4 linked regions of the Anolis sagrei genome follow. Each later gene encodes a partner of the first gene's protein in a complex. Links are inferred from orthologs where the notes say so. Each region holds a gene or a part of one and is shown in the gene's direction. Other genes may lie near its edges.

Region 1 (8,127 bases):
CTTTGGACTGGTTCCACAATGACTAACCAGAGTAGATGAGTCCATGGATTATGTACAGCAGAATGGAAAATCAGCTGTGTAAGTCTCTTGCAGTTTTTGAAAAATAGACAACATTTTCTGATTTTCCTCCCAATCTCTTCCTCTTTCCAAAATATGCCAAGTGTTTCTCATGAGAACAAATTATTAGTAAGGACCTCATCCCATGGTTTGCAGAAAGAGTGTATGCGTGGTGTATTGTCATAGTGTATTGTCCTGTTGCATTTGAAATGAAATCGGATAACATTTCCAACTCCATTATACATTCTATCTTTTTACCATTTCTATTATCTGCATTCTGAGATATCACATGAGCAAGTGTAGTCCCTGTCCATTCCCCATTCTTGCTTTTCCTGTTTTTATAGAGGAAATTTCAAAATTGCAGAAGTCTAAAACCTCATGGAACTTTAAATACCGTAAAGGAGTAATAATGTCTATTTATGTAGTAGTAGTAGTAATTATTATTATTATTATTTTGTTATTACATTGTTATGAAAAAATGAATTACATTATCAATCTTAAAATTATAACTTTTATCACTAATGTGATATGAGCATTACTTATGGTATACTCAAATTCAAGGCAAAAGTAAGTTATTATAAATTGTCTAGGGCTTTCTAAAAGACTCACATTACTACTTCCTATAATTTGTTATAAAAAAGGGAAAAAAGTTAAGAAGATAGCTATGGAGCAATTTGGAGAGCCAAGGTTTCAAGGAAGGAGAAAATACAGGAATGGTTAAGTGGTGATATTTCGAAATCGCGCAATTCCTGGTGATTACATTAATTAAAAGAAATTACCATGAAAGGATTATTCAACAAAACTTTAGGCGAGTAATGGAGCATTGATGCCCATTTGGAGACCACCCATAGAAACACCTATTCCTCGGTGTCACTAAAATGAGGTAACTTGGAAGAATCTGACAGATCCCATCCCACATGTAAATAAGCACCTTCTGCTATTTACGCATGAATCAGGAGCTCAGAAGATATTTCTCCCTGACTCCAATTCTCCCCATTTGTATACACTTTTAAAACACTTCACAGATGGATTACCATGGACAACAGGAAGAAGTCATTTTGTGTCGTATGATGAGCTCTGTTTTTAAAGTGTATAGAAATGGGGGGTGGGGGGTGGTGGTAAACACGACTTGCATCTGACGAGGTCCTACACCTTCTTGGTGAGCAAGAGATAATTGTGGGCTCCTCAGATAACTCTTAGCAGAGACACTTTGAGGTGTTATTTGACACAGGTTGCTTGTTTCCTGAAAGCAAATGCCTTGACATTTAACATGTCACCAAAGAGAATGGCTTCCTTATAATTAAGCATGTCTAACACCAAAACCTAAACAGTGTGTGTGTCAATGGTCTATTCGGCTTTGGGAAAATGGGAACCAGAACAGTAATATTAGCAGTGGAATCTTGTTCATTAGAAAGGAAGCCTGGAAGAATCCACCGGGCGTGTATTTATCTGAGTTGTGTATCAAGCTGCGTGTACTGCATATAACAATCTTAATTAGAAAAGTGAACTGAAGCAAGAAGACAGACTGTCTCCTTACTCCAACATTATCATATTCCTATCAATGTCTCCTTATACTTAGGTAACATATAATTATAGACAAAGGTTAGCATATAATTGTATATGTTGAATAACTGGTTATATGTGTATGTCATTATTTAAAGGCAGGGTTGGCTTTCCTCCAATTGGTGTTTGAGCAAGGAAGAGTGAGTGGGAAAGAGGGAATCGGTACCGAGTGATGAACATAGGGGTTAATTGAACAATGAACAGCCATGAAATAAAATACAATAACAATGGTTTCAGAGTGTGTGCTTTTTAAAAAGAATACATGTATATACAGGTTGAGTCTTCTTATCTGAAACAGTAGGACTAAAGGTGTTTTAGATTTCAGATTATTATTTTGGGGGGATTTTGAAATACCTGTGTTTGCATATATGTGCTTATGAGATCCAAATCGAAGCACAAATTTCATTTATGTTTCATATACACTTTACATTCATAAGTATATATGAAAGTAATTTAATACACAATTTTAAAACAATTTTGTGCATGAAGCCAAGTTTGTGTAGTTCAAATTGTCAAGAAGCAAAGATTTCACCATTTCATGTGTACACTTTTGGATTTTGGAGAATTTTGGATTTTGAATTTCGAAATTCCTGACAAGGGCTGCTCATGCTGTATTTCGCATTCCAAACGGAAACAAAATTTACTTTTGAGTTAGAAATGAATGACTAATGCCCCTTCCGGCAAACTGGTGAACATGTGAGCAGAACAAGGAAGGCCTGTGTAGAAGACATATTGATGGAGAGCCTTGGGCTGATTGTCTCTCTTCCTGCTCAGTCAAGGACTGAATGTTAACTGAGGCATGTTGAGAGAAGGCAACTAAGGCCCCTTCCACACCCGAATAAAATCCCACATTTTCTGTGTTGAACTGGGATATATGGCAGTGTGGACTCAGATAACCCAGTTCAAATAAGATATTGTGGGATTTTCTGCCTTGATATTCTGGAATATAGGGTTGTGTAGAAGGGCCCTGAGTCAAAAGCCAGAAAATACTATTGTTTTCAGGGCACCTGATCAAAAGGTTTGAAACTGGCCCGTAGCCAGTTTTTGATTTGGGGGGGGAGGGGGGGGGGCTGAGTCTGAGTGAAAGAGGGTCTACCCTAGCAAACCTTTTGTATTGTTACCCCAATACCCCCGTGCATATGGGATATATTGAGCATGGTGATCAGATCATGATATGAATAAACATAACAGTTTAAATAATGTACCAGTAAGGCCTTTTCGCAGACCACCATGAGAATTTGTGTGGACATAGAGTAGACTTTTCTCCCCCTTCCTGCCTCCATCCAATCCAACTGCCATTGACTTAGAGCCCTTCCACACAGGTTATCAAGGCAGAAAATCCCACATTATCTGCTTTGAACTGGGTTATCTGAGTCCACACTCAGATAATGTGGGATTTCCTGCCTTGATATTCTGGAATATAAGGCTTTGTGGAAGGGACTTAACTGGGTTCAAAACTTATCTTCTTTAATCTCAATTATATGAGTCTCCACTTCCAAATAATCAAGGATAAGAAGGTAATCTGGGATCAGATCCTGGGATATAGGACAGTGTGGAAGGGGCCTTATAGGGAGTCTTAGGGCTCTTCCACACAGCCATATAACCCAGAATATCAAGGCAGAAAATCCCACAATATCTCCTTTGAACTGGAGTATATGTCAGTGTGGACTCAGGGCCCTTCCACACAGCCCTGTATCCCAGACTATCAAGGCAGGAAATCCCACATTATCTGAGTGTGGACTCAGGGCCCTTCCACACAGCCCTATATCCCAGACTATCAAGGCAGGAAATCCCACAATATCCACTTTGAACTGGATTATCTGAGTCCACACTCAGATAATGTGGAATTTGCTGCCTTGATATTCTGGGATATAGGGCTGCATGGAAGGGCTCTCAGATAACCCAGTACAAAGCAGATATTGTGGGATTTTCTGCCTTGATATTCTGGAATATGTGTGGAAGGGCCCTTAGATAACCCAGGGTCCTTCCAAACAGGTCCTATATCCCAGGTGTTCTGCTTTAAATTGGATTATACGAGTCCCCACTGTTAGATAATCTGGGATAAACAGAAAACCTGGGATCAGATCCTGGGATATAGGGCCCTTCCACACAGTTATAGAACCCAGAATATCAAAGCAGCTAATCCACAATATCTGCTTTGAACTGGGTTATCTGAGTCCACGCTGCCATATTGTTGCTGTTGTTCATTTGTTCAGTCATTTCTGACTCTTCGTGACTTCATGGACCAGTCCACACCAGAGCTCCCTGTCGGCTGTCACCACCCCCAGCTCCTTCAAGGTCAATCCAGTCACTTCAAGCATACCATCCATCCATCTTGCCCTTGGTCGGCCCCTCTTCCTTTTTCCTTCCTAGGTATAACCTAGTTCAAAGCAGATAATGTGGGATTTTACTCAGCCAGGCATGTAGCCGGGGGGGGGGGGGGGGGGGGGGGGGCCTTGAGGGGCTTCAGCCCCCCCCCCCCCCGAAATTCTCATGGTGGTTCGCGAAAAGGCCTTCCTGGTGCATTATTTAAACTGTTAATTCATATCATGATCTGATCACCATGCTCAATATATCCCATATGCATGGGGGTATTGGGGTAATGATACAAAAGGTTTGCTAGGGTAGACCCTCTTTCACTCAGACTCAGCCCCCCCCCCCGAAACTCAGCCCCCCCTGAAAAAAAATTAGGCCCCCCCACCCCGAAATGAAATCCTGGCTACGGGCCTGTACTCAGCTGTGTGGAAGGAGCCTTTGTGTTGATATGTCCTCCCATTCTGGAAGGCGAATGGAAGATCAGTTGCCGAAAAGAACCACATTTACACTTACTAGGCCACATGTTCTGCCATCTGGGCTTCCTTATCAAAATCGCTTATGACTTGGTAAAGAGAGGCGAGTGTCAACTGCTGCCTTTTTGACTGATTTATCCCACATGCACTTTTCTCACACGCATCCCATGGGGTGTGCTTGAAGGGCGCGCCTCTTTCCCTGCAGGGGGCGACGAGCGACAGAGAGAAGCCGCTGCGGTTCGAGCCTCGGAACCAAAGCACTCGGAGTGTTGTTTCCCGGCCGACTGTTTTTGAGAGCGGACCGCTCATCCGGTGGGCTTCTCTCGCACCGCGGGGACCATCGACGGTGGTCTGGAAGGGACTTTCCGATGGAGGAAGAGGAGGCGGTGAGGCTAGGCTGAGGGAAGGGGGCATTTCGGGGAGAAGGAGCGCTCCCTGGAAATACTGGGGGCCCTTCCATACAGCTGAATAAAACCCCACATTAGCCGCTTTGAACTGGAATATATGGCAGTGTGGACTCAGATATCCCAGTTCAAAGCAGGTATTGTGGGATGTTCTGCCTTGATATTCTGGATTATTGGGATGTGTGGAAGGGCCCAGGGAAGGAGAGCAAAAACCCACGTGGAGCAGACAGCAGGCCCTTCTACACAGCCCTATAACCCAAAATATCAAGGCAGAAAATCCCACAATGTCTGCTTTGAACTGAGTTATCTGAGTCCACACTGCTACATGTTCCATTATTTATTTATTTTATTTACACAATTTCTACCCCTCCCTTCTCACCCCTGAGGGGGGACTCAGGACGGCTAACATGGGCAACAATTCAGTGCCATAATATCAATACAACAATGTAAAATCAAATACATAGCAAATTAAAACAGTAACATTAATTAAAATCACATACTTATATACTAACAAAGTTGCCAAATCAAGTCACATAGCCGTTTCCAATTGTCATAACAATCCTATGGTCCGGGTTCAGTATCTAAAGTGCTGCTGTGCCCACTAGCCAAAGGCCTGGCTCCAAAACCACGACTTTAGTTTTTTCCTAAAAGTAAGGAGGGAGGACGCCGATCTGATCTCACTGAGGAGCGAATTCCACAAGCAGGGGGCCACTACCAAGAAGGCCCTGTCCCTCGTCCCCACCAAGCGCGTTTGTGACACTGGTGAGACCGAGAGCAGGGCCCCCGCAGTAGATCTTAAATTATGAGGTGAAACATAGAGAGAGATACGTTCGGATAAGTAAGCTGGGCTGGAGCTTATTTATCTGAAGCAGATAACGTGGGCTTTTATTCAACTTTGGAAGGGGTCTCAATGCTACATAATGCCAAGAGTTGCAGTTTGGAGAGGTACCAGCACTCTTTGGGCCCTTCCACACAGCCCTATATCCCAGAATATCAAGGCAGAAAATCCCACAATATCTGCTTTGAACTGGGTTACCTGAGTACACACTCAGATAATGTGGAATTTTCTGCATTGATACTCTGGGTTATAGGGCTGTATGGAGGAGCCCTTTGGCTAAAGGCCTTGTAAAACTACAACTCTCAGGATTCCATAGCATTGATCCATGTCAACAAAAAGTGTGAATCTGCATTAGTTTTACAGTGTAGATGCACCTTAAATGGGATGCTAAAAAGTGAGCATTTGAGGATATGTGTATTTTGAGAAAAGATGCAGCCAAGTTGAGGGGGAAAGTGCATGCTCCATGCCTATACAAGCAATTATTACATAATTAATAATAAAATGATATTTTATGTGTTACTTGTCTTTTCTCACAGCTTGAGATGAGGAACAACACAGTCAAAACACAACACTATAAAATACATGTCATAAAATCAATACATTAAAACACACCATTGAAAAATACATAAATTAAAATACAATGCAAATAGCTATATTAAAATATAAGTAGAATGTAAAGTTAAAATTCACCATTTAAAATGTATTGGATTCAGGACTGTTGATGTCTGCAAAAAAGGAAACTAAGAAAATTGCCACACCTACGTATGAAATTGGACAATACCCTATTGATATTTTTTAAAACAGTAAATTATAATTGTATAGGAAGAACTTGGCTGTCCTTTGGGGTGTCCAGCTCATCATACAAGTCTGTATGCATCCAACATTTCTAGTTAAAGTCCAACTATCTTACAGTGTTTATAAACAACATCTTTAGATGGAGAAATCTAAAGCTAATTAAATTAGGTGCTTCATACCACAATCCAATGCATTTTGTTTATATAAGCCTAAGCCCCACTATGCTCAATAGAATGTGCTTGTTGGTAAAGGTGCATAATACTTGGGTGCAATTCTAGGCACACTTACTTGGAGGCCCTATTGACCACAATCCACTTCATTTCTAAGTGAACACAGTGATTTTTGTGTGATTATTACATTTAAAGGAGATATTTCTCTCAAATCTTACTTCCATGTCAGTTTATAGTGTGTTTGATTAGTATGAAAAGTAGGTATTTACATTAAAATTGATTTTATTGTTTTCAGAGAGATTTTGATGAACCTTGTGCAAAATGTATTTCTGTCGACTGGGGTGTTACAGAAGAAGGCAAATTTTACTGCAGATCTTGCCACACGGTCACAGAAGTAAGTAATGATCTATGCTGTTATCCCCTTCCACACTCCTAAACTGTGAATCTTTAGTTTAAAATTAAATCATCAGCATTGTCTGGGATCTTTATTAATGATCTTCCTCTGACTAATTAGTGACTCAGAATACAGATGCATATTACAGCCAAAAAATACACCCAAGAGTCTAGAAGAGTATTGTTGTACTGTGTAGGATTCTCAGCCAGGGTCTGCATCCAAGTCAGATTTGTGCATAAAAAGCTGTTTTCCTTCCAGTTGCTTACTTGGGACCGATTTTTGCAGCCTCTGCTGCTGACTCCATTATATTCATAATTAATTTTAATCATGTCATATTTCCATGCTTAAAGGAAAATGTCTGCAAGTATCTGGATGACAATGCAGTGATTAGTAGCGGCCAACATGGGTTTGTCAAGAACAAATCTTTCCAAACTTACCCTAGATCTTTTTTTTTAATTGGGTCATTAATTTAGTAGGTGGTGGGAATGCTGTGAGTGCCATTATTCTGGCTTTCAGCAAACTATTTGATAAAGTCCCCACAATATTTTGATTAGCAAATTGTCTAAATATGGAATAGATGGAAATGCCATCAGATGGATCCATAATTGCTCAAGGAGTTGTTGTCAATGGCTCTGCTTCAGATTGGAAGGCAGCCTCAAGTGGAATGCCACAATTTGCAAATGATGCAAAACTGGATGGGGTAGTCAGTACATTGGAGGACAGGAACAGCATTCAAAATAACCTGGAAAACTGGACTAAACTTAATAAAATGAAGTGTAACAGAGACAAATGTAAAAGTCTACATTTAGGCCACAAAATTAAAAGCACAGATAAAAGATGGCAGATACTTGGTTCAACTGTTCTGTGAATAAAAAGGATCTTGGGATTACTCTTGATCATAAATTGTACATGAGTCAGCAGTGTGATACTGCAACAAAGAAGACAAATGCTGTTTTGGCCTACATTGATAGAAGCGTTATTGCCAAGTTGAAGGAAGTGATAGTGTTATATATTTTTCTGCACTGGCCAGTGATTGTATTCATTTCTGGGCATCTCTATTTAAGAAAGATATAGACAAAATGGAGTGAGTTCAGAGAAGAGTAATGGGAATAGTAAG
Region 2 (8,278 bases), about 68 Mb from region 1:
TCTCCCAGCCCACACTTTTAAAAGTGGAAAGTGTGACTATTATGCAGTGAAATACGGTATTCATTTATCACCAAAGATGAGGCAATTTAAAATAAGGCTGACCATAGCTGAGGTGCAAATTGTTTAACATTGGTTGAAAGCTAAAATGCCACTGCTAGCCACTTGCTGAAGGAACAAGTAGGGCAAAAAAGGGTAGTTTAGAAAATTGGAAGGAGTCAAGGGGAACACAACTCACCACGGGTGAACTATATGTGGAACCATGAATACATCTTGACCATTCCTTCAACAGAACGAATGCACAAAAAAACTTAGTTTTACAGAAGTCACAACAAATGGTCAAAGTACATATGAAATGACTTATGAAAACATAATCCCAAGTACAAGATTTGACCCTTCTGTAAGGATAAAGACAAGACTCCAGGAAGGATAAAAGCAGAACAATACCACTGGATACAATGCCATTTTAAGCTATCATTTTCTTTGCTGATCCGTGGCAAATGTTCGGTCAGTTTCATTTGGAAACATTCATAATCTCATACCTTTAATCTTGCCTCAATGATTTTAGTAAGCGTAAGGCAATCTCCATGAAATCCACTGCAGCCAATAACTGTTGTGTCTGTCCTACATAAACACAAACATAAAATGGATATTCTTTTTAGTCATCTTGATATCTTTTCTTATATAGGTCATTCATTAAAGCACTTGGAGAAGCCAAATAAGAGTATCATTCAGAATCAAGCATTATTTTCATATAGTTTATCTTAAAACATCACAGGAAGTAAAATTTAACAGGATGTTCAGTGTTGTATGTAATCACCTTCCCAGCCTCAAACTGGTTCCAGGATTTCCTATGTAATCACCTACACAGCAAAACCACTTTCTTTAACACCACTTTGAATCCACATTAAATGGTCAGTGTAAGCCCTGTGCTGGCATTTACTAAGTATATCCTGTGGCATCCTAATATTGCTCATTAAATTTTAAGTTATGCAAGGTATAGTGACATTAGATGTACAACTTACTCCACAAATGTATCCTGTCTAGATTGTTCACCCCTGTGGTAACATGTACTGAAATAATTTTGAATAAACATTCACTTTACCTAAGTAATCTACAAGTCAACTCTATCAAGATTTTAGGGAAGAAGTCAAGAAGTTTGGGCTTAAAAATAGAGAGGTTTTGAACTTAAAAGAAAATTGCAGTAGCAGCTTGAAACATATACACATTTAAAGTATATATGTTCATGTTTCAATTTAAAGAACATTGGCCAAAATTAAAACATTAAAAGATCAAGACACTCTTGATATCAAAAGTGAAACTGTTCTCAGTTCCTGCTGCTCCTTGGTGTTGGGCAGCATTTGATCCACTCAAAGCCACAAAAGGGCAAGATTCTTCACAAAATTTAAAGAGATAAGGAAAGTATTTATTATTTCCACAAAACAGGTATATGTAGAAAGGTAGTTCAGCAAATATTACAGCTGTGCTTGTAAGAAATCAAAACAAGCATTCACAAACAAGGCCATGGGTCATACATCAAGCAGAAACAGCAGAAAGCTTTGCCCACACAGTTCCACGCCTGCCATACACACCAGCATATATCTTTTTCTGGTAGGTTACAAAGGCCTATCCTGTCCCAAGTCTCCCCACCAGAACTGTACAATTCTGTAAAAAGCTGATTGTGCTTCTTACCTGTGCAAAAGAAAGAGAGAGAGAGCACGCAAAGTGGCAATTCAGAAACTGACCAATTGCTTGGACTTGATGGAGGAAGGAAATGAGAGAACACTCTTCCCCTTAGAATTATGGTTGACTTGCCTCCCTGCTCTCTCCTTTCTCCATGGATAAGCAGCAGCTTCTATGCTCACTCCCTAAAATTTGACAGCTGTCAAAGGGATAAGCAATGTTGGATGTTGCACAGAGGCCTACAGAATAGCACCATGTGCTTCATCTGTAGAAGATTTACAGCATTTACACACACCTCACTAACAGGATTCCAATTATGAAGAGTAAACAAAATAACATAATTTCAACTTACAGCTTGTAGCATTTTGGACTATCCCGGCTGTGAACAGCATAGTCTTCACTCAATCGAGTGTCTGAGGCAACAATAGAAAAATCTTCACCAGCAATGGCCAATATAGTCCTTTCAAGAAAAAAAAAGACAGAAAATGCAAGATGTTGCTAATTTTATGTTAGCTAAACTAATTAATATATGTAACCTGAAATCAAAAGACTCCAAAAACAAGTTTAACTTTGTGTTCTCTAGTGTTCCAAAGTAAGGTGGGTGGTCTGAAACTGCCATGCACAAGAGTAAAATGCTCAAGATTGTGGTTTGGAGATGCTGTACTTAATGCCAGGATTTTCTTTGAATTTTTCCTGAATATGTTTTTAGATGAAGTAGTAAGGCAATTGAGCTCTCATGGAAAAAGCCCACTGTCCTTAGGAAATGTATGAGGTTCCAAAATAAACATGTAAGAGAAAAAGAAGGCACACAACTTAAATGTAGTGCTCAGAATCCACATGAAATTCCAGCTTCTGGATAAATAACTGCCAATGTTTAAGATGTTAGCTATATTTTCCTTATGCTGTTATCCCAGTTTGGGCAACTGAAATAGTGTTAGCAACTACCACTAGTTAGAAAAGTATTAGCAAGTAACATAGGTTCCATCTGTGTACATTTAAATCCCAATAATTTCAACAAAAGACAACTATGAAGACCACCAGGGCTCTGCAGAATTGAAATTCACAGGATTTATCACCTCTGCCTAAACTGTTCAGGTCCACTCAGACCTGCAGTTTAATATCTGGAGCTGCATTATTATTAGCCATGGTTCTCAAGAAAATGAACTTATATGAAGCAATGGAATAAAAGTTACTACATGCCTGAGCAACAGTACTACTTTGGGAGGGGGGGAGGGTCTTCATGAATGAGGCAGCCCTCAGGTCCAGAAGAAAAGTCCAGACAAGGAGGGAAGGGGTATAGAATATCTTTATTAGTCCTAATGAACTTACACAGATCAGACCAGGGGTCCTCAAACTTAGGCCCAGGGGCCGGATACGACCCTCCAAGGTCATTTACCCGGCCCTCGCTCACAGTCAACCTAAGTCTGAAACGACTTGAAAGCACACAACAACAACGGCAACAATCCTATCTCATGAGCCAAAAGCAGGCCCACACTTCCCATTGAAATACTAATAAGTTTGTATTTGTTAAAATTGTTCTTCATTTTAATTATTGTATTGTTTTAAAGTGATTTTTGCACTACAAATAAGATATGTAGTGTGCATAGGAATTCATTAGGCTAGTTTAAACCACATTTATTTATTTATTTATTGTATTTGTATACCGCCTTTCTCAGCCAATCGGCGAATCAAGGCGGTTTCCAACAAATCAGTACATATAAAAACATAACACAGATTAAAATATTAAGCAATATAAAACCCCACAAAAGCAATGAAAACAACAACATTAGCGTCTCATTATTATCAAGCACTGTACAGTTCCATTGTCAAATCGTTTGATTTCCTATATTAGCTACTCTGCATTTGTAAACGCTTGCTCGAACAGCCATGTTTTAATTCGCCTCCGAAACGTTAAGAGGGAGGGAGCAGATCTAATCTCCCTAGGGAGGGTATTCCATAGCGAGGGGCCACCACTGAGAAGGCCCTGTCTCTAGTCACCGCCAAGCGTACTTGAGACGAAGGTGGGACCGAGAGCAGGGCCTCCCCAGACGATCTTAGAGTCCTTGATGGTTTGTAAGGGGAGACACGTTCTCCCCTTACAAGTTGGGCCAGAACCATATAGGGCTTTATAGGCCAAAGCCAGCACTTTGAATTGGGCCCGGTAGTCAGTGGAGCTGGCGCAACAAGGGGGTTGTATGCTCCTGTTAGCAACCTGGCTGCTGTTTGTTGGACTAGTTGAAGCTTCCGGGCCGTCTTCAAAGGCAACTCCACGTAGAGAGCGTTGAAGTAGTCTATATGGGATGTAACCAGAGAGTGGACTACCATAGCCAAGTCAGACTTCCCAAGGTATGGGCTCAGCTGGCGCACAAGTTTTAACTGTGCAAATGCTTCCCTGGTCACATCCCTCAGCTTTTTCTATGTTGGAAACTTAGGAACTGCAGGGGACATTTTGAAGTAAGAAAAACTAAACAGAATTTTTGAAATAGGTGACAGCGAGTGAGAAAGTGAAACCATTGTGATCCTGGAGAAACATAAACATCGTGGTCTGAGCACTAGACTCTGGAGGCCACGGGGGCAGACACACTTTAGGATTAATGCAGTTTGACACCGCCTTAGCTGTAGTAACTCAATGAAATTGAATTCGAGATACTGTAGTTCAATGAGGCACCGGCTCTCTTGGGCAGAGAGGGCTAAAGACCTGGCAAAACTGAAACGCCCATCATGCCAGAGTATTGAGCCATGGCAGGCAAGGCGGGGTGAAACTGCCTTCATCCTATAGCTCAGTGGTTCTCAACCTGTGGGTTCCCAGACGTTTTGGCCTTCAACTCCCAGAAATCCTAGCAGCTGGTAAACTGGCTGGGATTTCTGGGAGTTGTAGGCCAAAACACCTGGGGACCCACAGCTTGAGAACCATAGCTGAAGGCTCGGGCCTGGACCCCGCTGGGCGGCCAAGGGGAAGCCTCTGCCAACCCCTTCTAATCCCAAAGGCCTGGGACTCACCCGCCATTGAAGGTGTAAGGCGAGAAGCGCCTCTGCACGGCAGCTCTTTGCTTCGTCTCGCAATCCAGGCCGAGCGCGGGCTCGAAGTAGCCACCTGTCGAGAGCATCCTTCCTCCTTGGGGTGCTGTCTCACGGCAAAATGGCGCCCCGGAACCGGAAGTCGCCTTCAGTTCCTTTCCTCGGCAGTACGTTTCACCCTTCCGCCTGCAGGTGTCGCTGTGTTGCGCATGCGCGTTCCAAGCTTCTTCCACTCCTCCCCACTCACTAATGGGAGGTGTCGAGCCGGGAGTTGTGTATTGGGCGTGTTTGGATGACGCGATAAGTGTGCGCCGCTGCCGCCTGAGAGAACGAGCGCGGAGAAGCGAAGGCACCGCTGAGGTCGGGCAGGAAAGGCGGCGGAGCGGGAAACGCGCCTGGATCCCAGTTTGAGGCCCGGACGGGGATTGTACAAGGCGCCTTTGGGGCTCACCTTTACTCGTTTTTGTGGGAGTTAGTTGCGTGTTGGTCGCCGCGGTTGGAAGCCAGCTTCAAACTGCAATAAATGGTCAGTGTGGACGGGGCCTGCTTGTGTGCGCTGTGGCTGAGGAAAAGGGCTCCCCCAAACAAGTGGCATTCCTTCGGTTGGACATTGAACAGCTCAGAAGCAGCCGGTAGGCCAGGCATGGGCAAACCTTGGTCCCCCAGGGATTTTGGACTTCAACTCCCATCATTCCTCACAGCCTCAGGCCCCTTCCTTTAAGCGGCTGAGGGGGAAAAGGAAAGGGCCTGAGGCTGTGAGGAATGATGGGAGTTGAAGTCCAAAATCCCTGGAGGACCAAAGTTTGCCCATGCCTGGGGTAGACTATTAGGAATTGTGGGAGTTGAAGTCCAAAACACCTGGAAGGAGGGCTGACGTTTGAAAGAAAAAGATGAAAAAAGTAATCTGAGAAGCTGTTACTTCACAATCTTTCAGAGTGGAGTTGAAATCATTGCATTTTCAAAGAAGTTTAAATATTTGTTATAATTCTATAGGTAACTTCCCACCATGTATGTTGTCTATGTGGTATGTGAAATTATATGTGAGATTGTGGGGGAGGGGGAGGTTTATCAATGCAGAACTATAGAACTGGCAAAGATTTATGCTGGTAATGGACCTATTTTTGAAAGTACGTAAGAAATATTTTGTGAAATGTTTAGGCAACACAGGGGTAATCTGTGTTCTGAGTTTTGTTGCAAACTCTGTATCATGAGCCATTCTCCCTTCTAGGCTTTGGACACCTGTGAGCTGATGTAGTTCCAGAAATGCCAAGGCTGACTGCATAACTCATTGCCAGGACATCAGATTCCTTAAGGCAGATGGTCTAAATTTGCTGTAGTGACCTGAACTTGTGGTCATCACTTAGCTGGAGACGTGATCGCCGCCATGGATCAAAACAACAGTATACCACCTTATGCCCAGGGTCTAGCATCCCCTCAGGTAAATATGTGTGAACTTACAACTTATGAAGAAATAGAACCTTCAAAGGCAGTTCTTTACACAGTGAAATGAAATCTTGCATGTGTTATTTAACTCCAGGCCTTTCTCATTATTTTTACAAAAAGTTGGAAAAGCTGTTTTTTTTTTTATTATAGCTTCCAGTCTAGAAGTTATAGTGCAAAACTAGTGTCCCCAAATCTGTTTTCTTCCCCAACCTCCTTGGTATCCTTGCTGTAAGTTCCTTTGTACTGATCTTGCTCACCCTCAACTTTTCCATCCTCATAAGGGAACAAGAACAGAATGGAACAAGATAGAAGAGCTTTATTGTCATTGTACTATTTCACAACAAAACTAAATGCCTTCCCCAGCACACATCACAAAAACAAACCACCCATCCCACCACACTCTAACCACCACTGCACAGCCCCCAATGCCACATCAGTGTGAAACCATGGAGTTCAACATAGCCACAGCTCTAGGATAAAATCTTATCTCTCAGTCTGTTTGCCCTTGTCTTTGTCACCCTGTACTATCTGCCAGATGGCAATAATTAAAAAAAAAAAGAATATGCTGGGAGAGCTGGATCTTTAATAATGCTCTGAGCTTTCTTAAGGCTATGGGGCCTATACCTTTGGAGCACCTTCCTATCTGGCACTGTGCAGTTACCAAACTATGCGCAGATGCAGTAGGCTAGGACACTCTCTATAGCACAGCAGTAGAAAGTCACCAGCAGTTTTTCATTCAGTTGTTGGTTCCTTAAAAGTCTTAGCTAGTATAGTCTCTGCTCGGCCCACTTAACCAACATTGCTATATGTGTGCCCCAGGTCAGATCCTCTTTAATAGTGACACCCAGGAACTTAAAAATGGCCACCCACTTCACTTGGTCTCCATTTATGAACCAGGGCTGGATTTCTGATCTGTTCTTCCTGTAGTCCACTATCAGCTCCTTGGTCTTATTGATATTATAAACCACATTATTGTCCCTGCACCGCAAGAACAACCAATCCACCTCATCATCCTGATAGGCAGACTCATCCCCTTCAGACACAAGCCCCACCATGGTTGTATCATCTGCGAATTTGGTAATAATATTGGTATGGTGGATGGGATTACAAAGTGTAAAGCTGAGGATTTAACACACAGCCCTGTGGCATCGCAGTGTTGAAGTGAGAGCTGATAAAGTATGATCACCCAATCTAACCCTCTGGGAACATCCAGACAAGAAGACCATAATCCATGAGCAGAGTGAATATGACAGTCCAAGATCCATAGGTTTAGATACCAGTCTGTATGAAAGGAACAAGAGCCAAGACAGGTCTTTGAGACATTTCTTTGCTTTGTCTCTTTCATGGCCTCCTTTGGCTGGTTGTAGAGGAAGGAGATAAAATATATCTTTTTTCTGTCATCTTAGCTGTCACTGGAACCATTGGAATAGGTGCAGTAGTGCATGCAAGAGCATATATAAGGCTTCTTACTTCTAAATACACTTTAATTAGCTTCAAGCAGTAATTTGAACTGTGTGCATAGCTTGTTAATGTACCATGAGAAATATGCTTTGCCTAAAGTGGTTGCCAAACTTTGATCCTCTGGGTGTTTTGGATCTTAGCTTCCATATTCCCCAGTTCAGTTTGGCTTACAGGAATCCTAGTAGATGGGGTCCAAAACATATGGAGAGCCAAAGATTGGGTACCACTAACTTAAAAGAACTCTGTGAGCCCAGGGTTCCAGTAAAAGAGGGGCTGAAGATTGCATTACTGCACAGCTCCCACATTGGCTTAGTTTGGTTATTGGCAGCACTACACATCTCTACATAAATGTTCTTTTGTGCAGAGTGTTCAAGGAATAGTAAGATAGTTTAGATCAATTCGACACTTTAGAGACCAAATTTGGTTTTAACACTATTCATGTAACATTTATTGAAATACAATCACTATAGAATCACATCAAGAGAGAGCTCTCATGCACACATTCCAAACATTCACACATACTCATACACACACAGGCCTCTGGACGAATGTGATCAGCTTTCCTCCGAGAAGGTGTGGACGTTCCCGTTGCCATGGATCAGGAAGCATGCATACTCTTGGGGTCCTCTGCATTTATAGGCCAACATCAATCTTTCTTCTTTAATGAACATGCTAC
Region 3 (7,888 bases), on another chromosome or scaffold:
TTTTTTTGCTCAAGGATGGCTCATGTGACTGAGAGTGAACCAAAATTAGAACTCTGGAAACTGGTTAATAACCAGCAGCTAACTGTAAAGAAAGAGTTGGACCCTGGCAGAACTCACGTTTCATGCAGTTTGCGAGATGACGTTGCTGGAAGCTAGTAAGCTTGGATTCTTGCATCATCACTGAAATACAAAAAAAAAAGGACACTAATTTCACAGGAATAAACATAAATATAAGCTGTGTAGGAAAGATAATTCTGGTCTCTGGGAATGTCTCCAGGTAATTAGAAGATGCTATCAAGGTCTTTAAATATAGCATTTATATCAGCTTTCCTGAATCCAGTGTTCTTCACATGTTTTAGGGTACAAATACGTATGGAGTTTGAGTGCTTGCTGTCCAACACGTTTGGGCATCACTACAATAGGGAAGGCTAATATCTGACTATACTCAAAGTGGCTGCCAGTGGACAAATGCTGTTTCATGAACCACTAGCTGTCTAATTTCCAAAATAGAAAGAAACAGTTGTAGCCAGAGGTCACAAACATGATGCTGATACTTGGGACTCTAGGGGGAAAACTGCCAGTTTCCCACATTATCTATATAAAATTGTTGCCCATATTAACCCAGAGTCTTACATTATTCAAAGAGACAGCAGATTCCCTGTAGATGGGAAGGCAGAGAAAAAGTGACCAATATGATAGGAACTGCAGACTGTGAAAGTGGTCAGTGCCATCTGCTCTTTTTCTAAACTTCTGTATCAATATCCATTGGCTGCTGTATATGATTATTTAAATATGCATGTGATCTGAAGACCCATATGCACAGTGAAGTTTATATAGGACACTGTGAGCACATGCTCCAGTACTGCAAAGCAGGGTGTATAATAGCTAGGCAAGGGCTATATATTATATTGACAACACGTTAACTGCCATGGCTCAATGTTACAATCCTGGAACTTGTAAGTTGGTGAGGTACCAGGCACTCTTTAGCAAAGAGGCTGAAGACCTTGTAAAACGACAGCTCTCATTATTTTAACTTTTGAATTGTAATCTACATTTTCATGGTGAGGTTTTGTGTTATATGCATTTTAATAATGTTGTGTTTTATCATTCTGCTGTACCCCACCTGTTGTACCCCACCTTGAATCGCAAAGAGAGGCAGGTAATAAATTATTATTATTATTAATACTACTACTATTTCATAGCATTGAGCCATGATCATTAAAATGGTGTAAATCTGTGTTCTACAGTGTAGATGCACCCTTAATATCATTCTGATCTTCCTGTCACCCTCCAGGTACCTTTTAGCAGTTCTTGTGTTTCTCGGCTGTATTTGATCCCAGTGGGTGCATGCCAGAATCCAGTGCCTTTTGCCACAGCTGGTATGTTTCTCTCTCGGGAAGTCATAGTTATACCTTGAAAAGAAGAATGAAGAAATACATCTTTTATAGCTGTCAGGATCATGATTCCAAGGTGAATTTTGTACAATCCTACCACATGATCCTACAACATCATCAGCTGATGTTGTAGGATCCATTTGTCCATTAAAAGTTTATCACTTTGAGGATTTTTTTCTTTTTTTCTCTTCATTAGAGGTTTTTTTAAAAAAGATATAAAGTGTATACATTGAGACATACTTTGGAAAATACAGTGCATAATTTTGCTCACATTTCGGGTCTGATTGCCATGTAAGCAATCCGTCCTGCTCGTGTTTATTATGTATAAGCCACACTTCTGTGTTTCCAGACCTAATTTTCAGTGCTAGTTTTAACTTAAGCTTTCACATACTTGCAGACTGAATCTCTCCATACTGGCTTCCTCACAAATTGTTTTAGACCTCAGTGTGAGATATGTAAACCTCAAATAAAGAAGGGTCTTTATAGTATTTGTATCTATAGCACAATCTTTGAGATGCAATGGTAACACTTAGCTGCATTTTGAAAAGGTTGCAAAACCCACTATTTCCAGCTGCCTTTTAACTTGGGTGGATATGTGTTCTGAGAGCACTGGGCAAGTTGTAAGCAGCAGCAGATACAACATTTGAGATGTGCTGTTTGTAAACTGTGCTATTTGAAATATTTATTGGACTAATTTGCTTATATATATATTTCAAGCTGTGGATGTTTAACTCTGTGAATACAGAACCTGTTGATATGGAAGGCTGATTGATTTTCAGGGTTAGTCCCCAAAAAATCCTGACAGCTTTTTAAAGTCAAGACAGGCAAGTGACAGTGCCACGGCACAACAGGATTGAGTTCTTTTATACTATGCAGCTTGGCTCGCATGCTTGAGTGGACTAAAGTTATTATGCCACCTCACCCATTTTAATAAAGTGAACCTAAATGATGATGTTGTTGTTGTTGTTGTTATTTGTATTTATATCCCGCTTTTTCTCCCCAAAGAAGATTCAAAGTAGCTACCATTAAAAATCATACAATATGTAAATAAAAACTTAAAACATACAAACATTAAAACAGTATTAAACACAGGACATATTTGTACCTTCCATAATGGAATGAATCAGGCATGAATTGATGTCATATAAATCTACATAAATTGCTGGATGGGGCTGCGAAAGGGACTGCCCTTCTAATGTGAGGAATGGAATAACCTTTTTGGTCTCTTTCATCTCTAAGGCCCCTTCTGCACTGTTATATAAAATCCAGATTATCTGCTTTGAACTGAATTACGGTATATGAAATAAAATGAAACTTTATTTATAGCCTGCCCCAAAGGGACTCAGGGTGGGTTATAGCAAAATACACAATGGCAAACATTCAATGCTGACAATAATAAATAAACAAAAATCAACTCATTAAATTATAAAACAACTAAAAAAACAAGACATAACACAATACACATAATTACATAGTAAATCATTAAAATCTCATTAAAATTTCTAAAAATTGACTAAAGTTGTTGGAGGGGAGATGGTAAACAGCAGGTTAACAGGTATTTGCAGGTAGGCGAGGGTGCATATCAGGGGTTCTCAAACTAAAGCTCGGTGGCTGGATACAGCCCTCCAAGGTCATTTACCCGGCCCTTGCCCGGGGTCAACCTAAGTCTAAAATGACTTCAAAGCACACAACAACAACAACAATCCTATCTCATCAGCCAAAAGTAGGCCCACACTTTCCATTGAAATACTAATAAGTTTATATTTGTTAAAATTGTTCTTCATTTTAATTATTGTATTGTTTTTTGCACTACAAATAAGAAATGTGCAGAATACAAAGGAATTCATTCATTTTTTCCCCCCAAATTATAATCTGGTCTTCCCAACAATTTGAGGGACTGTGACCCGGGCCTCTGTTTAAAAAGTTTGTGGACCCCTGGTGCATATAGATGTACTTAATCCTATATGGCAGTGTAGACACATGCAATCCACTTCAAAGCAGATTCTGTGGATTATCTGATTTGATAATCTGGATTATATGGCAGTGTAAAAGGGACCTCATTTGATTTTGTCATTTCTTTGACACGTGTAATATGTCATATTATATATATGACATATATATAACAATATGTCCAGAGGCGGCCCTAGGTAATTTTCAACGCTAAGCAAACAGTATTTTGCCCCCCCCCCCCCCCCAACCAATCACTGATATATATTTTCTGTTTGTCGTGGGAGTTCTGTGTGCCATATTTGGTTCAATTCCATCATTGGTAGAGTTCAGAATGCTCTTTGATTGGAGGTGAACTATACATCCCAGCAACTACAACTTGCATATGTCAAGGTCTATTTTCCCCCAAGAGCACCCCTGGGCAAAATCAACTATACTGCAAATGCTTACTTTGCGTAATGGGTTGAGCCGCCCCTTAATATGTCATAATATGTCATATTACATATAGGTAATATATGATAAAGCAAGAGCCTTTCTTTTCAGGCCCCTTACATAATGCTGTATAAAATCCACATTGAACCAGATTCTATGGCAGTGTAACCCAGTTCAAAGCAGACATTGTAGGATATTCTGCCTTGATATTCTGGGTTATCTGGCTGTGTAGAAGGACCCTCGGTTTTCCCCAAAAGGTGGCCTTCTAGATGTTTTGAACTTCTACTCCCAGAATTCCACGCTGTTGGCCAAGATGACCAGGGCTTCTGGGAATTGAAGTCCAAAACGGAAGAGTGAAGAGGAGACACAATCACCCCACAACTCAACTGTATAATCTCCATATTTTATCAGCCCCCCACAACAGCCTAATCCCCATCCGAGTTTTGAGGGAGTTTATTGTTATTTTCAAATCTCAAGAGGTGGCGAGGGGTGACCACATGCCTTTTGCTCTTCGCCGGTTCTCCCTCACGCTTACTCGAGCCGGCGGCTCCCGTCACCATGGCAACTAGCTCCCTCGCCCGCTTCCGCTGACGTCAAGGCCTACGCCGGAAGTAGTCCCGCGCGCGGAAGATGCTTGCTTAAGCAGGAGCCGGTGGTGCGCGCGCCTTGCCTCATCGTGTCAACATGTCCGACAACGAGGATAAGTAAGCGAGCATGCCTCTGTGTCTGTGTTGGCGGCGAGGGAGGGAGAAGCGAAGGCCCCGGGGACCTGCCACCGGTAGGATAGCTGGGCCCGGCCCTAGGATTTGCAGTTGACTGAGAGCCGGCTCTACACCGGGCCTCGCACTGTGGCCCTCCAACTCCCAGAAACCTTCTCCAGCTTGCTCAGTAGTCAGGAATTCGGGGAGTTAGAGGCCCAAACAGCGGGGGTGTGAGGAGGCCTGCTCCACACTGCAGAATTAGTTCACTACACCACTGCCATGGCTCAGTGCTATGGAGTCCGGAGAGTTGTAGTTAGGTGAGGCACCAGGTCTCTTTGGCAGATAAAGCCAAAGTCCTTGTTATTTATTTATTTCGAACATTTTTACCCCGCCCTTCTCAACCCCTAGGGCAGTGTTTCTCAACCTGGGGGGGGGGGGGGGTCGCCAAAGACCACCAGAAAACAGTATTTTCTGTTGGTCATGGGGCTTCTCTGTGGGAGGTTTTCGCCCAATTCTATTGTTGGCGGGGTTCAGAATAATCTGAGTTTAGGTCAAATATAAATCCCAGAAACTACAACTCCCAAATGTCAAGATCTATTTTCACCAAACTCCACCAGTGTTCACAGTTGGGCATAATTGAGCATCTGAGTTTGGTCCAGATCTATCATTGTTTGAGTTCACAGTGCTCTCTGGATGTAGGTAAACTACAACTCCAAAACTCAAGGCCGGTGCCCACCAAACACTTCCAGTATTTTCTGTTGGTCATTGGAGCTCTGTGTGCCAAGTTTGGTTCAATTCCATCGTTTTTGGAGTTCAAGATGCTCTTTGAGTGTAGGTGGCCTACACATCCCAGCAGCTACAACTCCCAAATGAAAAATCAACCCCCCCCCCAACCCTACCTGTATTCAAATTTGGGCCTATCAGGTATTTGTGCCAGATTTGGTCCAGTGAATGAAAATATATCCTGCATATCAGATATTTACACTGCAATTCAGAACAGTAACAAAATTACAGTTATGAAATAGCAGCTAAAATAATGTTATGGCTGGGGGTCACCACAACATGAGGAACTGTATTAAGGGGTCGCAGCATTAGGAAGGTTGAGAACCACTGCCCTAGGGGGACTCAGGGCGGCTTCCAATTGGCAATAATTCAATGCCGCATCATAAAATACAAAATAGCAAATATAACAATTAAAAACATGAACATTAATAAATAAAGATTAAACAGTATACTTGCGATCCATTTAGCTGTTGGTGGCTATTTATCTAGCCATATACTAATGATTACTCCACTTAACTTATCCAAATCCACTTCCAAGCTATAGTCAAATATTATGAATTGTCCTTTAACCTAATTGCCCGAAGGCCTGGTATAAGTCTCAGGATTCCCTAGCACTGAGCCATGGCAGTTAGTGGTGCATTCAGCAGGCGTGGGCAAACATGAGCCTTCTACATGTTTTGGACTTTCTTTCCAACAATTCCTAACAGCCTCAGGCCCCTTCCTTTCCCCCTCTCAGCCGCTTAAGGAATTGTGGGAGTCCAAAACACCTGAAGGGTCCAAATTTGTTGACATGCATGAAGTTGTGGCTGGTGGCTTCCAGACCAGTAATAATAATAATAAATATTAATTTTCATTTATACCCCGCCACCATCTCCCCAATGGGGACTCAGAGCGGCTTACACAGGGCCAAGCCTGGACAACATATTACAGCAATAAAATCAAAACATAAACAACAAATGACAACATCAAAGCACATTAATAATAATAAGAAAAAAAGCAGTCTTAAAATAACATTCTAATAAACACAATCACAATAACGATAACAGTGGGCAGGCCACATGTACAGGATAAAACCATTTAAAAACTGTGATGAGATAAAATACGAGCAAGACTGGTAGATCTACTTCTAGTTTTAAGGAAGCTATTCAAGGCACTGAACATAGACCTCATCATACTAGAGATAAAATCCAATTTCTGCCTCTTGCAGAATTTAGGGACTTTAACAGTCTCACTAAACTACAAATCCCAGAATTCTGCAGGGGGAAGAAACCGGATTTGAAGTGGATTTTTTTCTCTAGTGTGACGAAGTGGCTAGTCCCAGGATTCCATAGCACTGAGCCATGGCCATTACAAAGTGCATTGCTTCTACAGTGTGGATACACCCTAAGGCTGGAGTCCTTCATCATAATAATAACAATAACAACTTTATTCTTGTATCACGCCAGCATCTCCCCGAAGAGACTCAGGGCTGCTTACAGATGGCACAAAGTGCCTAAAAATCAACATAAAAGTGAACACAATACAAAATACAATAAAATAAAACACTTGTACATATAAAATTCAGATTCAGTCAAGCTGCGATCCTCTAACCATGACAGTAAATTACTGGCACCATGGCCAGGGTGTAAACATTGAAATAAAATAAGTGCCATCTGCAGTAATGGAGAGAGGGCATGGGATTAGGTGCTTCATAAAACTGCATGAGATGCAACCAAGGTGCCCTTCCAGACAGGCCCTATAGCCCAGGATCTGATCCCAGGGTTTTGGTTTATCTCAGGTTATCTGGCAGTATGAACTCAACCAGTTTAAAGTAGAAAACCTGGGATCACATTCTGGGATATAGAACCTGTCTGGAAGGACCCCATGTCAGTTAAAGTGGAGTCAAAAGGACTGCCGGTACTGAGTCTTTTTATGCACACACAGAGGTAATATACCATTTTAAATACAGGCAGTCCCCGAGTTACAAACATCTGGCCTACAAATGACTCATACTTAAGAACAGGGGTGAGACAACAGGAAGTGAGAGAAATATACCCCTCAGAAGGGAAATTCACTCCTGAAAGAGCATCATGGGGAAAAGGTGTCTTTATCACCAATTCTTGTTTCCAGAACAAGCCCAATTTTTCACACTTCAATTATCACAGGGACGGAATGTGAGGTGAAATCTTCTTAATAGGGGGACATGAGAGAAGCCTCCTCGCAGGATTGCAAGACATCCGGGCGTCCCCTGGGCAACGTCTTCGTAGACGGCCGATTCTCTCAACCCAGAAGCAACCAGAGACGACTTGAAGCATGCAAACAAGGAAGCAAAACAACCAACGGTCCTTTTCAGGACCAACCATGACAATAATCGCACATGTTAGACGACATGATCACATCGGTCGCGCCAATCCCTGAGGAATACGAACATTTTATTGAAATAGTGAAAACCTGCTCACGGGCCTCTATACCGAGAGGCTGCAGAACCCACTACCTCCAGGGCATTACTCCTGAAACAGCCGCCTTGTTGGAAAACTATTACAGGCTCCACAACGAAGACCCATTCAGTGAGCAGACTCTTCAGGCAGCGCAGAGCATTGTGTCCTCCATCTCTGAAGCCAAGAAAGAACAGTGGATCAAGTTGATCACAGA
Region 4 (7,900 bases), on another chromosome or scaffold:
AAATTTAATTACCAATGGCCAGCAATTACAAATGGACCTAGTCAGCTATGAGAATACATACACTGTTCTGTCAAAACTCGTTAGGTTACAACCTTTTTAACGTTCATCCAGATCAGTGATACATTTATCCAGTTTATGAATCCTTTTTGTAGATACGGGCCTTGCAATAGCTGTGATAGAGTAACTTGCCTTTGCAGGTGCAGAATGCACCTTGCTGTAACTTTGATAAAACCCTGTATCAATCGACATTATTGACTGTAACTTTGATAACACATTTCAAATAAGGAGTTTCTCTGCAGGTGTTTAGGCAGATGAGGAGATTGTAACCCTTTATGGAAGGAGGGACCAATGGATATGGAAAAAAGGTATATAAAAATGTGCTGAACTTTGCTTATGTGTGCCTACTTACTAAGACAAGACACCTGAGGCTTGCAGGATCGTATGATAATAAAGCTTTGCTACTTCGCCAACTTGGTCCAAGTTTCTCTTTAGGCCCCAAAGACCCCTGTTTATATCATGTACATATATGCAAGGTTTTCTCCTTATTTTATACCAGTAAACATACCATACTAGAATCATAGAATCATAGAGTTGGAAGAGACCTCATGGGCCATCCAGTCCAACCCCCTGCCAAGAAGCAGGAATATTGCATTCGAAGCACCCCTGACAGATGGCCATCCAGCCTCTGTTTAAAAGCCTCCACCACACTCTGGGGCAGAGAGTTCCACTACTGAATAGCTCTCACAGTCAGGAAGTTCTTCCTAATGTTCAGATGGAATCTCCTTTCTTGTAGTTTGAAGCCATTTTGCTTTCTTCTCCTTGTTATTGAAAATACTACTTACGCACCATATACGGTAAATATTTTAGTCTTTACAGGTATTCCAAAATCCCAAACACTACGGTCTTAAGCATTCCTGGTAATGAATATTCAATCCCATTGGCTGACAGTGCAGAAAGCTTTCTTTCTTTTTTTAAAAAAAGTTTCTTGATTAGTACATCTGAATGTCAATTCAACTTGGAAAACTGAAATAATACCAGAATAATATTGATATAAACTTCAATTCTGGCAACCCATATCTTTATAATGTTGCAATACAGTAGAGTCTCGCTCATCCAACATTCTGTATTATCCAACGCTGTCTGCTGCCCGTCCGGATCCACAGTTGTTTCAATACATTGCAATGTTTTGGTGCTAAATTCGTAAATACAGTAATTACTACATAAAGTTACCGTGTACTGAACTGCTTTTTCCATCGATTTGTTGTAAAATGTGATGTTTAGGTGCTTATTTTGTAAAATCATAACATAATTTGACATTTAATAAGCTTTTCCTTAATCTCTCCTTATTATCCAAATTTTTCTCTTATCCAATGTTCTGCTGGCCCGTTTATGTTGTATACGTGAGACTCTACTGTACTTCTTGCAATGCAGTTCTGCCGACTCCCTCTTTATTACGTTATTGCAATACTTCTTGCAGTGCAACTCTGCCAACTCTCCTCTTTATTACACCATTGCAATAATGCTTGAAAAGCAGATACTCACCCCCAACAAGTTCTTCCAAAGTAGGTACGTGTAAAGCAAACTTCTCAACTTTGGCCATGTTTTATTTCACCTTGTAAAATTTGAAGCAAGCTGCAAAAGGGTCAGAGTACACCAGGGAACAAGTCAAAGATCTGTTAATGAACACACTGGCTTAGTGATTAAGCATAATGACACAAGCTGTATACACAAACTTCTTATGACTCACGTCATCCTTCATTTTATGAGGGACTAAAGGAAGGTTGTACATCTGTCTTCACCTGGGGGTGCATCTACACTAGGCATGGGCAACCTTCAACCCTCCAGGTGTTCTGGACTTCAACTCCCACAATTCCGAACAGCCTACCGGCTGTTCGGAATTATTATTATTCTAAAGTATTATCCAATCAGATAAGAAAAGCTGTAATAGCCTCCATGATGCCCAATTGGACAACCCATTTCTTGTAATGAGCTTCTTAGCTAGCAAAGCTGGTGTCTTTCCAAGACAAAAAAAGATTAAATACTGTTGGCTTTCTCAAGGCTAACATAGGTTGCTTCTACACCATAGAAATAATTTATTTCCTATATTTATATCCCACCCTTCTCCCCCCAAAGGGGGACTCAGGGCAGCCTAACAAAAGCATCATATGATGCTATCATCATAAAAACAACCACAGAACAATCAAAATGTTAAAAATTAAAACAATTAATTGAGACACATCCATTAAAATCGAAATCCAAAAACCAGTCCGGGTCAATTCATTGCCATAAGATGTGTGATCTTCTTTCATTTGTGCTCACTGATCAAACACTTGGTCCCATAACCAGGTCTTGATTTTCCTTCTAAAAGACAAGAGGGAGGTGGCCAATCTGGCATCTCTAGGGAGGGCATTCCATAGGCGGGGGGCCACTGCTGAGAAGTCCCTGTCTCTCATCCCCATCAACCATGTTTGTGATAGTGGTGGGATCGAGAGCAGGGCCTCTCCTGAAGATCTTAAACTTCGTGATGGTTCGTGGCAAGAGATACGTTCGGACAGGTAGTCTGGGCCAGAACCATTTAGGGCTTTAAAGGTTATTTATTTGTCGTGTCAGAGCAACGACTCCATTATATTACATTTCTAACAGAACAAAGCAAACAAATACAAAACTTGTGAGTGCACCAGGTGATCAGTGGTTTGCTGTTCTCCACACTCGCATGTTGAGGATTCCACTTTGTAGCCCCATTTCTGAAGGTTGGCTCTGCATCTCGTGGTGCCAGAGCGCAGTCTGTTCAGCGCCTTCCAAGTCACCCAGTCTTCTGTGTGCCCAGGAGGGAGTCTCTCATTTGGTATTAGCCATTGGTTGAGGTGCTGGGTTTGAGCCTGCCACTTTTGGACTCTCGCTTGCTGAGGTGTTCCAGCGAGTGTCTCTGTAGATCTTAGAAAACTATTTCTAGATTTAAGTCATTGATGTGCTGGCTGATACCCAAACAGGGGATGAGCTGGAGATGTCTCTGCCTTGGTCCTTTCACTATTGGCTGCCACTTCCCGGCGGATGTCAGGTGGTGCAATACCGGCTAAGCAGTGTAATTTCTCCAGTGGTGTAGGGCGCAGACACCCTGTGATAATGCGGCATGTCTCATTAAGAGCCACATCCACTGTTTTAGTGTGGTGAGATGTGTTCCACACTGGGCATGCGTACTCAGCAGCAGAGTAGCATAGCGCAAGGGCAGATGTCTTCACTGTATCTGGTTGTGATCCCCAGGTTGTGCCAGTCAGCTTTCGTATGATATTGTTTCTGGCACCCACTTTTTGCTTGATGGGGACATGAGAGAAGCCTCCTCGCAGGATTGCGGGACATCCGGGCGTCCCCTGGGCAACGTCTTCGTAGACGGTTGATTCTCTCGCCACAGAAGTGAAGCTTTAAAGGTTAAAACCAGCACTTTGAATTGTGCTCGGAAGCTGATCGGTAGCCAGTGGAGTTGGCATAACAAAGGAGTTGTATGTTCCCCGTATGTCACTCCGGTGAGCAATCTGGCTGCCAACCTGGCAGTCTTCAAAGGCAGCCCCATGTAGAGTGCGTTGCAGTAGTCTATTCGGGGATGTAACAATTTGATATCTCTTTAACTGCAATGGCACAATGCTATGGAGTGATGAGTTCTAGTTTAATGGGGTATCCTGCTTTATGTGGCAGAGAAGACTAAAGACCTTGGAAAACTACAACTCCAAGGTTTTCACAGTATTGAGACAGCAGTTAAAGTGGTTTCAATCCGCATTAAATTACAGTGTAGATGCAATTCATTAATATGAATTAAGTAAAACTTGTTAATACAAATCCTATGCAAGAAATGAGAATAACTGACATCAATTTCAAAAAACTCAAGGGATTGTGTGCAAAAGACTGGGCAAATATTTAGCAGACTTGCACAATTCTGTACATGCTTCAAAGCTCTATTAATATCCCTTTTAAAAAGTGCATTAAATGCCTGTTACTCAAAGCCCCCCATTTGCATGCTAAACTACTCACAAGACTGGAACGCGCTGCTGGGAACAGAACGCCACCTTTTTGCTCCTCGCGAGCCTCCCTCCTCGGAGAAGCCTCTCTAACCAAGTTCTAGTCATGTTACCGCTTGGGCGGTCCAACCAATCCCAGCATTCTACGCTGCCACTCTCAAGATGGCACTCGCGCCCGCGGCCCTCCTTCCCTCCTTCCCGTCAACCCCGAAACCCAACTCTCGCGAGAACGGCTAAACTATTTAAGCGGGCCCTCTTCAAGCGTTCGGCCTTGTTTGGCTTCGGGAACGGAACTGTTGTGAGTCGTGAATGAATAAGTATCCATTGTCATCCGCTTGAATTAATGCTCAGGTTAGAGCGTGGCCTGTTAATTGATAATTTAGGGATATTTTTTGTTTATTTTGGGTACGATATCGGGGTGATTAAGGGAAGATAAAGGGGTGAAAAGCGAGGTTGAGTTTCCTCCCCTCTGGCGCCATTGCTTCTCATGGGCCTTGGCTAGAATTAGGCTTTCAGATTTCCCTTAAATGAAAGGCCCAGGAGTCTTACACTCCAAATAATCATCCAATATACTTGCTTTCCAAAAGTTTTGGAATGTTAGTTTAATATTTCATATTTCATGGCATGGATTGATTTGTATTTTATAATTCCATGTTTGCATCTCAATTTCATATTTTATGGCATGGATTGATTGATTTGTATGTTATAATTTCATGTTTGCATCTCAATAAAGAGATACAAATAGAATATGCATAAATATAACAATTGTAATATTTTATTTACAATTGAATAGGCTTATATTTTATTTTTACATACTGCACTTATATATATATATAGAGAGAGAGAATATATATATATTTATATATAGAATATATATATATATAGTATATATGTGTATATTTATATGAATAAAAATGTAATGTTCATTTGTGGGATTAACATAACTCAAAAACCACTGGACGAATTGACACCAAATTTGGACACAAGACACCTAACAGTCCAATGAGTGACCATCACTCATAAAAACACTGAAAACTACAGCAGACGAGGCTTAAAAAACAAAAAATGCATTACAACGCATGCACAAAACCATCTATGTACACAAATATACATATATACACAAACATATACACACACATACACACACAAAACACATATACACAAGGGACAGTCACACACACGAATTTGTGCTATGTTAATAATATATTATTAGCATATACTAATATTGTGCTATGCTAATTTATTGTATGTACACATAATACTGATAATATAATGAAATGAAATATAATACTTATAATAATACTAGCTGTCCCCTGCCAAGTGTTGCTGTGGCCCAGTCTGTGTATATGTGTTTTGTGTGTGTGTGTATTTGTGTATATGTGTATATATGTGGTTTTGAGAATGTGTTGTAATGTATTTTTTGTTTAAGTCTCTCGCTGTGTTTTTCAGTGTTTTTATGAGTGATGGTCACTTGTTGGCCTGATAGGTTTATTGTATCCAAATGTTTGTGTATATGTGTATATATGTGGTTTTGAGCATGCGTTGTAATGTATTTTTTTTATTTTTTGGTTTTTTAAGTCTCTCCCGCTGTGTTTTTATGAGTGATGGTCACTTGTTGACCTGATAGGTCTATTGTGTCCAAATTTGGTGTCAATTCACCCAGTGGTTTTTGAGTTATGTTAATCCTACAGACGAACATTACATTTTTATTTATATGGATATAATTTTTATTTTTTGGTTTAAGTCTCTCCCGCTGTGTTTTTCAGTGTTTTTATGAGTGATGGTCACTTGTTGGCCTGATAGGTGTATTGTGTCCAAATTTAGTTTTAATTCACCCAGTGGTTTTTTGAATTATGTTAATCCCACAAACGAACATTACATTTTTATTTATATTGATATAATAATATTAACATATTATACTAATATTGTGCAATGCTAATAATATAATATATTGTATATACATATAATATTGATAATATTATAATGTAATGCAATATAATAACCATAATAATGTAATATAGTAATACTAATGCATTAAATATAATTGCTCCTGATAATATATAATATACTTTTAATTATATATTTTAAATTGTAAGATTTTTGATGGTGAGCCGCTTTGAGTCTGTATGGAGAAATAAAATGGGATATAAATAAGTTATATATATATATATATACACACACACACACTATATGCACACTATGTGTGTATATATATAGAATATATATAGGGGGAAATGCAATATAAGCCTATTCGGTTCAATTATATATGTGTGTGTGTAAGCTGCTGCCTTTTGGTGGTGCAGCGGCTTAAACCACAGAGCTGCTAAACTTGCTGACCGCAAGGATGGCAGTTTGAATCCAGGTAGTGGGGTGAGCTCCTGCTGTTAGCCACACCTTCTAGCAACCTAGTAGTTTGAAAACATGCAAATGTGAGGAGATCAATAGGTACCGCTTCGATGGGAAGGAAACGGTGCTCCATGCAGTCATGCCGGCCACATGACTCTGGAGGTGTCTATGGACAATGCTGGCTCTTTGGCTTAGAAACTGAGATGAGCACCACCTCCAGAGTTGAACAAGATTAGACTTAATGTCAGGCGAAACCTTTACTATATGTGTATAGACACGTGTGTGTGTGTGTGTGTGTGTGTGTGTGTGTGAGAGAGAGAGAGAGAGAGAGAGAGGCTCCGGTCTTGTAAACAATCCCTTGAGAATAAAAACCTGTTGATGTCAGTGAGGATCATTTATTGCATAGGATTGTATTGTTAGGTCCTTAATTCATACGTTTTAGTAGATATGAGGTGAATCTACATTGTAGAATTAATGCAATTTAACACCATTTGAGATTCCATTACTATGGAATCATGAGGGTTGTAGTTTTGCCGCCTCTATAAATGAATTGCCTGGCAATATTTTGAAAATGCCCGGTTTTTATGCCTCTTTTTTAGACTTATTATAAGGGTATTAACTTTTAGAATCTGAATAGTAAGAGGAAGCTCCTTGTTTTTTGTAAATGTTCTCTAACTTGCAATATATTTGCTCTCAAGATTTTCAAAATACTAACATTTCTCTCCTGATTCCCCCCAATTCTATGCTAGGAGCTGAACATGGCTGATATTTGTGAGACAGAAGACTCTGCTGCACATCACCAGGATTCAAAAAAGTGAGTCCTTAATCTGTACATAAAATTGCAAGGTGTCGTCATAGGGTTTCTGAAGTGCAGCTGCATCTATTACCTGTATTTGCAATCTTGGCTGAGCTTCCTGGTAGAAAAGTTTCTAGCTGTAGGGCTTGCAACTTTGCTAAAATTGAAATTATTCAGTTTGCATATATTATCTGTGTGTCGTTGAAGAATTGTACATCCTGTGTGATTTCTTCCAGTTGGTGAAATATGCTTCTGAGTTACTAGAGTGTATTATTATGTATTATGGCAGGCACGGGCAAACTTTGGCCCTCCAGGTGTTTTGGACTTCAATTCCCACAATTCCTAACACAATTCCCCATACAGCATATCAAATTGTTCTACCAGATTAGGTTGATGGGAGATACTATATTTTTATTTATATCCTGCTTTTAGTAGGGTTATCCAGAAAATAAGGTTACAAGGCATGTAGCTCTCGCAGGGAATTTTCTTGTGGGAAATTGGTATTGCTGTGTGGGAAGCCAACGGAGGCAAATGAGCAGTGCCAGTCGTCAGTAGCTCATCAACTGATGTGAAGGTTAGAGATGAGCATCCTCATTCCATTTCCCTTCAAGTGCGAAGTTTGCGTTGTAATACCTCAATGCAAAGGGCACAAATGCTGCCGCGGTTCATCACAAAATTGATTCAGTTTATGGAGAGGACGTAATGTCAAGAGAGCATGCGACAAAATGGGTACAGAATATATTGTGAG

The links.
Region 2: TAF1B (region 1) and TBP share a complex: the UniProt entries of both Homo sapiens proteins name them as parts of the transcription factor SL1/TIF-IB complex. The link is inferred for Anolis sagrei from reciprocal best matches to the Homo sapiens genes TAF1B and TBP.
Region 3: TAF1B (region 1) and POLR2F share a complex: the UniProt entries of both Homo sapiens proteins name them as parts of the pol I pre-initiation complex. The link is inferred for Anolis sagrei from reciprocal best matches to the Homo sapiens genes TAF1B and POLR2F.
Region 4: TAF1B (region 1) and TAF1D share a complex: the UniProt entries of both Homo sapiens proteins name them as parts of the transcription factor SL1/TIF-IB complex. The link is inferred for Anolis sagrei from reciprocal best matches to the Homo sapiens genes TAF1B and TAF1D.

The regions. Positions count from the first base shown.
Region 1 is NC_090021.1:130,630,336-130,638,462, reverse strand, and holds the start of TAF1B (TATA box-binding protein-associated factor RNA polymerase I subunit B), read left to right. Parts: upstream 1-4,641; 5' UTR 4,642-4,777; coding exon 4,778-4,795; intron 4,796-6,911; coding exon 6,912-7,010; intron 7,011-8,127. UniProt on the Homo sapiens protein: Component of RNA polymerase I core factor complex that acts as a GTF2B/TFIIB-like factor and plays a key role in multiple steps during transcription initiation such as pre-initiation complex (PIC) assembly and postpolymerase recruitment events in polymerase I (Pol I) transcription.
Region 2 is NC_090021.1:62,172,143-62,180,420, reverse strand, and holds the start of TBP (TATA-box-binding protein), read left to right. Parts: upstream 1-4,986; 5' UTR 4,987-5,224; intron 5,225-5,926; 5' UTR 5,927-6,082; coding exon 6,083-6,136; intron 6,137-8,278. Other genes in the region: PSMB1 (proteasome subunit beta type-1), read right to left, coding at 540-621, 2,033-2,140, 4,681-4,787. UniProt on the Homo sapiens protein: The TFIID basal transcription factor complex plays a major role in the initiation of RNA polymerase II (Pol II)-dependent transcription.
Region 3 is NC_090025.1:164,562,760-164,570,647, reverse strand, and holds the start of POLR2F (DNA-directed RNA polymerases I, II, and III subunit RPABC2), read left to right. Parts: upstream 1-4,372; 5' UTR 4,373-4,457; coding exon 4,458-4,477; intron 4,478-7,888. Other genes in the region: C5H22orf23 (UPF0193 protein EVG1), read right to left, coding at 118-180, 1,299-1,412, 4,309-4,333. UniProt on the Homo sapiens protein: DNA-dependent RNA polymerase catalyzes the transcription of DNA into RNA using the four ribonucleoside triphosphates as substrates.
Region 4 is NC_090023.1:19,473,283-19,481,182, reverse strand, and holds the start of TAF1D (TATA box-binding protein-associated factor RNA polymerase I subunit D), read left to right. Parts: upstream 1-4,266; 5' UTR 4,267-4,308; intron 4,309-7,105; 5' UTR 7,106-7,114; coding exon 7,115-7,170; intron 7,171-7,900. Other genes in the region: C3H11orf54 (ester hydrolase C11orf54 homolog), read right to left, coding at 1,543-1,600. UniProt on the Homo sapiens protein: Component of the transcription factor SL1/TIF-IB complex, which is involved in the assembly of the PIC (preinitiation complex) during RNA polymerase I-dependent transcription.